2 linked regions of the Caenorhabditis elegans genome follow. The protein of the gene in region 1 purifies or fractionates together with the protein of each later gene. This does not show direct contact. Each region holds a gene or a part of one and is shown on either strand. Other genes may lie near its edges. The genes, in order: rcs-1 and cpi-1.

Region 1 (4,689 bases):
CATCAAAAACGGTAGAATGCGACTAACAAATGTTTTTCTACAATGTGAACCTTTTTTTAAAACTTTTTTGAAAAAAAAAACAATTTGTGAAAAAAAATCCGCATGCTCCAGGTTTGCGAATCTTCAAGTTTGAAAATCTTCAAACTGTAAAAACTTTCCAAAAATTAGAATTTGGCTGGTTTGCTATTCCAGAAGCTTAAAATCGATACGAGACTTTCTAAAAATTCATGTAACACTGTTTTTGAGCATATTTCAGGTTTTGGGAAAAATTGCAAAATTAAATTTACCCGTGTGGGAAAAGAACCACCGAAATGTGATTATTGACGTAAACGTTAACCAATCGGCCATTCAAACGGTGCTTTCAGTGCAAAACTTTTATGTAGCCTTTTCTACACGTTAAAAACAAGCTTTTCAACAGAAATAGTACTAAATTTTCAGACGGAAATTTTCAGCCCTGTGTGACTCGCCAGCAGAAACGAAAAATAAATTATGTTAGCCAATGATCTTAGCTTCCGTTTGACCTAAAAAACTTTCAGATTGAGGCGTGCTGGTGGAAGATATTCCCTAGTAAGCTACTTTTTGAGCGGATAATCATGATTGTCATTTCTGGTTTCCTATAGCTGTGACACGGGACATTTGACAATTTTTGAGAATTATTATAGGATTCTCATTACAAAATTTTCGGTAGGTTCCAACTCGTTTTCAATAGTTAGTTGTCCTTTAAATCACATACAAGTGTCTCATTCATGTTGTCAAGACTTTATTTGGATGAAAATCATAAACTGGCTGTCAAATGAATAACTTATAAGAATTTAAAACAATGTTCATTTAGTAAAAAAAAAACAGTAAAGTTGGAAAATATCATTAATTAATTTTAGATGAATGGTTATTGAATCATATAAGTAGAATATCCGTTATATTTTATTTTCCAAAATTGAAAGACGCAAGGTTGATTGTTATGTCATCCATTTTGGTTGGTTGAGCTGAAAATCCTAAATTGTTATGGTTTCAGAAATTTGATGAGGTACCCGGTAGAAGTTTCCTATTTAGCTATTTGACACATTGCGCAATACCGTATTTTCTCTATTAATGCTGCACCCCAATAGTCCTTTCGAAAATTAGTGCTGCAGTTTCTATTAATGCGGCACCCATTTTCCATTAAATGAGTCACCTCAATAGCTTCGACATTTGGGGGAGTGTTTTTGTTCATTTTTGATTATTTTTGATGGTTATTGTTAATTTACAAACATCATGAAATCATTATGTCTTTATGTTACAAAAATATTCACTCCTTATGAATTTCTGCTTAAAAGATGAGCTTTTGTGACTAAAAGCTAGTTCGAAAATTTGCACTGCCGTCTCTAATAGTGCTGCGTTCAAAAAGGGACTGAAAATAAGTGCTGTAGCACTAATAGAACACTAATAGAAAATATATGGCAAGAAAATATAAACTCACGTGCGTTAACAACATTTGATTGCGTTGCAATTTTTGCCATTTCCACAAGTTCCATGATTTGAGATTCTTTGCTGAGCAGCCCGGCTTGGTTGATATTGTGAAATTCTTTCATATCAGTGAGCTTTTGTTTGAAACGTTGATGTCCTACGGATAGAATTTCCATTTTCTTTTTGTTGTCGTCAAGGCAGCAATCTGCTGCATCTTTCAATTCCACAAGAGTTTCCTTCTCCCGCTGTGCTACCATTTCTTTAATTTTCTTGAAGTGTTCTTCAATCTGAAAATTTGAAAATAGAAAACATAGTTTGTCAAATTGAAATACCGATTTAACTTTTGCCTTGTACGTAGCTCCACTAGATTCAAAAGAACGTTGAGCACTGAAAAAACTTTATAAAGATTATAAATTCTAAATTGCAACAAACTTTTTGTACTGTTCAATGCAAGATTGAATTGAGTCACAGAAGTTTTCAAGTTTAGTTTCTGAATTGTTCAGGACCGTTCTCATTTTAGCTGCTTCCTCTTGCAACAAGCCTCTGGTATGCCCCTTGTGGTTTCCGAATTCTTCACAGGTGCGGCACATTAGTTTACATTGAGATTTGCAGCCGCTCGTCTGAAAATGTGAATTTCTACTAGATAATGACGGCGTCGATTTTTGATTAAAAAATATTATGTTTCTAATTTGCCAAACTGTGCCCATTTTTCATAAAACTCATTCGGAAAAGCCAATAAAATACTTACGACGCAAACGAACTCGGCCAGGTTGTGTGGATGGTTTTTGCACATCGGAGGGGAGTTCGAATTGACAACCTAACCAAAACTACTATTTAGCAAACCTTCTGTTATGCAGCTTACCACAACGTCCTTCTTATTCAAACTATACCTGGCATCCTCAATAACCTCAATCAGGGCAAAGTTTTTGAGCAGCTTTGTAATGTCGTTATTTACAATGTTTGTTACTGTTCGACAAAATGGACATTCTACAGTACTGTTATTCACCATCGCTGTGATACATTTGTGACACAGAGCATGTCCACAAGCTAAAATATTGAATTACAATTTGCGTATAATTATTTACACGACTTACTCAGATTTCTTGGAATATGTTCGCTGTCGGTATCGGAAAAGCGGTCGAAGCAAATCTTACATTTTGGGAACGACATTATATTCAAATTGAGCGATTATAACCTGAAAGGAAAAATTGAGTCAACCATTTGCAGAAGTTTTAAGACGCTTTTTCTGACTCTTAGATAAGATAGCACAGTTGACTATTGAATAAAACGAATCATCAAAAAACTAAAAAAGGCTTACGAAATTTTATTTCAAAACGATGTTTGTTTGTTGAAGGAAATGCACAGGAAGGAAAAAAACACAATAAGGATCACTAGTTTCCAATCGAAAGGTAAAAAGCGCTAGGAAAATTTTAACACTTTTTTAATTTCAGATTTAAAATGTAAAAAGCTTAAGTTTTTGACAAATTCTAATTTGAATTATTACGTTTTTGTCAAAGCTTTTTACTACCAGTGCGCAGTTCTTTCCATTTCTGCACCTTTTTTTTAACATGTTTTCTCTTGTTGCGAAAATGAAAAACTTACGATGTTCAAGTTGACACAAAAAATTTTTTAATGTTGCATTTTGGAATTCGGTCAAAACACCAAATGCGTATTTTCAGGAAATTTTCCTATTTAAAATAAAGCTAAAACTAATAGTGAGTATCAAGCAAGAGATGATTCATTCATTTTAGAAAAAGCTAAATTTGCTTTGTTTTCAACTTTTTTCAAATTTTCTTGTCGAATAACTTTGTAAAATGGAAAAAAATATGTTGAAAATCGATTTGCGTTGATATGAATACTACCAATAAAAAAAGACAACAAACAGAGAAAAGAGAAGAATAGATACTGCGTGAAAAACTACACATGTTAGAACAAGTGTGTGAAAAAAGGTAAGCCAAAATGAGAGTAAAAATATCAGAGTATGTGTTTGAATTCAGTACTGAATTATATCATAGTGTCGAGTGGTAAACTTGCTGTGCAAACACTTATTGATAAAACATTAAAAAGTGACTAACGGGCAAAAATTTGTTCAATATCATTTTCACAATACAGTATACATCAAAACGTGGTACAGATTTTATTTCAGAAAATAAACAAGTTACGGAAAGACCATTTATTCTAGTGTTCAAATATATCTGAAAGTGGTACATTGAAACGTTCTGCATTTTACTCAATTCACATTATAAAAATCAGAAAAGTGTGTCACAGTCGTTATTTGTAACTATTCAGGAATTGCTGATTCCACTGGAGATCATATCCAAAATAGTAATAAAAAACCAAATACATTTAACAAAAGTTTTAACAAACAAAAAATATTTGAAGAAAATGAACAATACTTTTTGTATGAATGAAAGCCAATAGTAAGACCAAAAATAGATAAGAAATGCGAGACGCAGATAACTTTTTTTTTCGCAACACTCTGCCCCATATTTTAAACTTAGCAAGGATTGTAACTTTTCAAAGATCACGTATTTTAAGAGTAGCAGGTTTACAACTTTTGCTCAGACAAATGTTATCATGATCTCAATCCTAAGATAACGAGGAATTTCAGGAAAGAAAACAACAAGTGTTTATTGAATATTGAATGTACATCGAGAACCAAAACTTATTGCAGCAGGCTAGCAAAATTGAAATTTCGGCAATTCGACTTTCACATTGTGAATTGATAAAGGAATTGCTGAAAAATCTTGAAATGTGTCGAATGTGTAAGAAATGAAATGTATTACGTGTATTTGCAGACGGATTCTGAACCAATGATTCTGTTGCATCTGCCATTGATTTAATATTTCCAGCTTCATTAATCAAAATTGATTCATCCAAGAGACTTAGTCGTTTGATTTCAGCAAGCTTATCTTCAAAGTAACGATGCCCTGATTTCAGTGCTCCAACCTTATTCCTATTTTCCATAAGTTGCCGCTCTGCTAATATGCCCAGCTCTTCAATTGACTTTTGCTCTCGAACATCAATATTCTTACGCATGCTGTCATAATGGCCTTTTATCTGCAATGAATGTGTTCAACCTCAAAAGATTCAAAGCTTTTTTTAATACTTCGTTTATGGTATCCATGAATGCGTTGCTGTCAGAAGAAAGTGAGTTTTCAGCTCTAAAAATCGATGCAATATTAATTGTACATTATAAAGGTTTTTGATATACTTTTCAAAATCACGCAAACTGTTCTCAATGGT
Region 2 (3,540 bases), on another chromosome or scaffold:
GTTACTGTTTATTTCCGGTACCGATTTCCAAGCAGTTCCCTGAAAATGCACAATAAATAGTTTTTTTAAACGTTGATCTGAACATCTCAATAAAAACATGTAATTAAAAACTATACTAGGAAAGGAAGAATACCAATTATATAATCTTCGTTTCAAAATGCACGAAAATTCTTAAAATTCGACTACTGTTTCAATCTACTTATATTATTGGAAAGAACGTAGCGCGAGTGATAGTTTCGCTTTTAAATTAAGAAACTCAAATTATTCCAATTTCTGAGCTTTAAAAGTTTCCAACGCACAATTTTAAAATGCACTACAAAAAGAAAACTTACGGTATACTCGGAAGCGTTCAGATTAGAAAATCCACCAAGAACTTGACAATTCATTCCATCAAGAACAGCAAAAAGAAGTGCGATAGAAAGAATAAAACGCATTTTTGTCTCAAAGTATATCAACATTCGTTTGCTTTTATAGGAGTGAGAGGGAGTGCGTGATGAACAGGACACAGCAAAAGATCAAGGGTTTGATTCAAAAAAAAATCGATCATCGCAACAGGTATGACTCATTGTCTTCCCATGGACAATTGATTTTCAACGGAATATAATGATATAATTTCAAAAAATATTTTCTTCAGATGTATATTAGGGTTTTAGCTGGAAAGAAAAGTACGTAACGCAGCAACTATTTTCAAAAACCAAAGTTCTTTATTAGCAATTTTTTAAAATAGTACAGAAAGCAAGAATACATTCACCAGATTTAATTTAAATTTTTTCATCAGGTTTCACACCTCTGATTTTTTCAGCCTTAGTTTGCTTGAAGTTTTCCCATGGTTTCTCCCAAATGGACACTTTGTAAAGTTCACGCTTGCCACCAGACTTCAATGGACAATTTGCAGCAGTGACTTGAGAAGCTTGAACTGATCCTTGTCTCGGACAAGTTGACTCTCCAACAAGAACTTCCAAAACTGTATTGGTTCCGGCAACAACTTGAACTTGAGCTTTAACAACCTAAATAAGAGTGTTATAAAAGCGCAAAGTATTATTTTTTGAACAGCATTTTTTGCCTCTGAGGAGTAAACCTACCTTAATTGGAACCATGTAGTTTTGTCCATTATTCTTACTGTTTATTTCCGGCACCGAATTCCAAGCTGCTCCCTGAAAACTCATAACTAAAAGTGCATATATATTTTAAATTGAAAATTACGGTAACCAAAATCTTTTTTCGAAATATGAATTTTTTCACTGTTTCACAGTTTACATTTGTGCACAAAATTTTTAAATGATACTGTTCAACCAGTAGACATTTATTAAAATTTTGCGCGAAGTGCCAATTAGTTTTGAATAGCAGTTTTGAAATTAAAACTCTTAATTTTAATTTGTTTTATAAGCATTTTGAGTCGTAATTGAATTTTTCAAAGCGCTAAATTTTTATTCCAGTTTTTTTTGTTTAAAAAAATGAATTTATCGAATATTGAAAGAAATTAAAATTATAGTAAACCGGACTAAGTATCCTAAGAGTAAGTATCAACTATAGTTTTAAAAAATATAAGAAATCTTCACAAAATGAGCATTTTCTCAACAAAAAGCCTAAGTAAAACTTACAGTATACTCAGAGGCATTCACATCAGACAATCCACCAGCAATTTGGCAATTTATTCCGTCAAGAACAGCGAAAACAAGTGCGATAAGAAGAATGAAACGCATTTTTATTTTTGTCACAAAATATGTCAACATTCGTTTGCTTTTATAAGAGTCAGTTGGTGAGTGATAAGAGCGAGACAGCTAAAGATCAACAATTTGATTGAAAAAAGAGAAAGAATCGATCATTGCAACAGCTATGACTCATTATCTTCCTTTGGAAAGTTTGTTTACAACTGAATATGATGATATCATTTCATAAATTATTTTCGACTTTTGCATGTTCTGTTTTTCTGGAAAAAAGTGCCGCTTCAGGAATTCTTGCAGAGTTTTTTTGCACCTGAAAGCAATGATAGAAATTCCAGAGCTTCTGAAAATGAAGTAACAAGGCATGAGTTCAAAACTACGTTTTAGTTCAAAAAATATTTACAAAATTTTGTATAAATAATTTACTGTTTCACATTCAAGTTAAGTGAACTTGTTTTAAATGAAGGGCTGTTCCAATCTTTCAGAACTGAAGAACTTTATTTTTAGAAAAGCGAATTTTACCTTCACATGATTTTATAAAGCCACACGATGTTTTCCGTGTGGATCTTGCCACGATCTTAGTCAACACATAATAATCATTTACTATATATAAAGCGCGTGTCCTTCTGTCCCTATGTAGTTTGATCTCTGATCAGAGCGACGAAATTTTGGGAAACCTTATGCTAAATGCGCAGCAGACATCGATCGAGGTCCGCGATAGACACCGTATATCTAATGTGTTTTCTCAAAAAAGTCGGGGGCCGCGCCGTAGGTGCGGTCCACGGCTGGTAATTAATAATTTATTACGCTCTCTGGGAGACGTGAAAGAATACAATAGTTATCAAGGTTTGCGTGATTGGGGCAGCCGGGCAGTCGTTTCCATTCCATTAAAATGTTGTCTGTCGGCCACCCGGGTCAAAAACATCCCGCATTGGTTAATTAGCTACGGAAGTTTAATATCATGAAGTTTCATATCGTCAAAGAAAGACAGAATTCACAGTCATTGTTAAAACACCATAGTTTCCTCAAAGCGATCGTACCGTATTACGGGAACAAGAAATCATGAGAACGCGTACTTGGTGCTTTTATTTGACCCGGGATATCTCTTAGCGAAAACTACAGTAAGAACTCAAATAACAATAAATATTTAAGCTCTTACTGTAGTTTTCGCTAAGAGATATCGCGCGTCAAATAAAATGCACCAAGTACGCATTATCATGCTTTATTGTTCCCGTAATATACATATCTTAATCACTTACAGTACAATCGCGGCGAGATTTAAAAGTAAAGACTAAAATCAAAAGTTCTACCGAAACTGTATCAAAATAACAGCATGTGATCGGAAAAAAGTATTGTTTTAATAAAACATGCGCTTTGTATGTGACTTTTTTCAATTAGCAAGAAAAGATAATGAAATAAAAATCAACAATACCTTACGAATTAGGCTGCATTTTGGGTCGGAGAGATTTTGTGTAAATTTACGGCGCGTTGCGTGTGGCTTCGCGGCTCGTTTTTAGTTACAACTAGTTGTAAAACTGATGTATTTGTCCGTGTGGAGTACACACACAACTCATCTCCACGCGTAGAAAAATCGGATGTTCAAACGAAAGTTCGTTTGAACATCCGATTTTTCACAATAATTACCGAAAACTACGGTCGACAATGAGAAAATTCAAAATGTACGCAAACACCGCCACGTTAAAATGCACAAAATTTTCAAATTGAAAAATATTTTAAATTTTACTTCTCGATTTTCAACGATTTCTCTTCGTTTCCACTGTTATTTCTTGTAATTTTTGTTATAATTGATGAAAATAACATTCAGAAATTTCAGGAAATGCCTCTCGCCTACTCAACACACGATAATTTCTACGAA

The links.
Region 2: the proteins of rcs-1 (region 1) and cpi-1 fractionate together in Caenorhabditis elegans (co-fractionation; one large-scale study listed by BioGRID). This does not show direct contact.

The regions. Positions count from the first base shown.
Region 1 is NC_003284.9:8,825,875-8,830,563, forward strand, and holds rcs-1 (RING-type domain-containing protein), read right to left. Parts: upstream 2,645-4,689; 5' UTR 2,614-2,644; coding exon 2,538-2,613; intron 2,491-2,537; coding exon 2,306-2,490; coding exon of another isoform or gene 2,261-2,305; coding exon 2,192-2,260; intron 2,064-2,191; coding exon 1,876-2,063; intron 1,831-1,875; coding exon 1,776-1,830; intron 1,731-1,775; coding exon 1,457-1,730; intron 984-1,456; coding exon 922-983; 3' UTR 730-921; downstream 1-729. Other genes in the region: C28G1.6 (RING-type domain-containing protein), read right to left, coding at 4,122-4,180, 4,230-4,503, 4,553-4,607, 4,658-4,689.
Region 2 is NC_003282.8:6,091,915-6,095,454, forward strand, and holds cpi-1 (Cystatin cpi-1), read right to left. Parts: upstream 1,719-3,540; 5' UTR 1,704-1,718; coding exon 1,602-1,703; intron 1,310-1,601; exon of another isoform or gene 1,288-1,309; intron 1,155-1,287; coding exon 1,083-1,154; intron 1,008-1,082; coding exon 762-1,007; 3' UTR 689-761; downstream 1-688. Other genes in the region: K08B4.7 (Cystatin), read right to left, coding at 1-39, 333-434. UniProt on the Caenorhabditis elegans protein: Cysteine protease inhibitor which inhibits members of the peptidase C1 family. Does not inhibit asparaginyl endopeptidase. May play a protective role against exogenous cysteine proteases derived from soil bacteria or fungi, or rotting fruits and vegetation.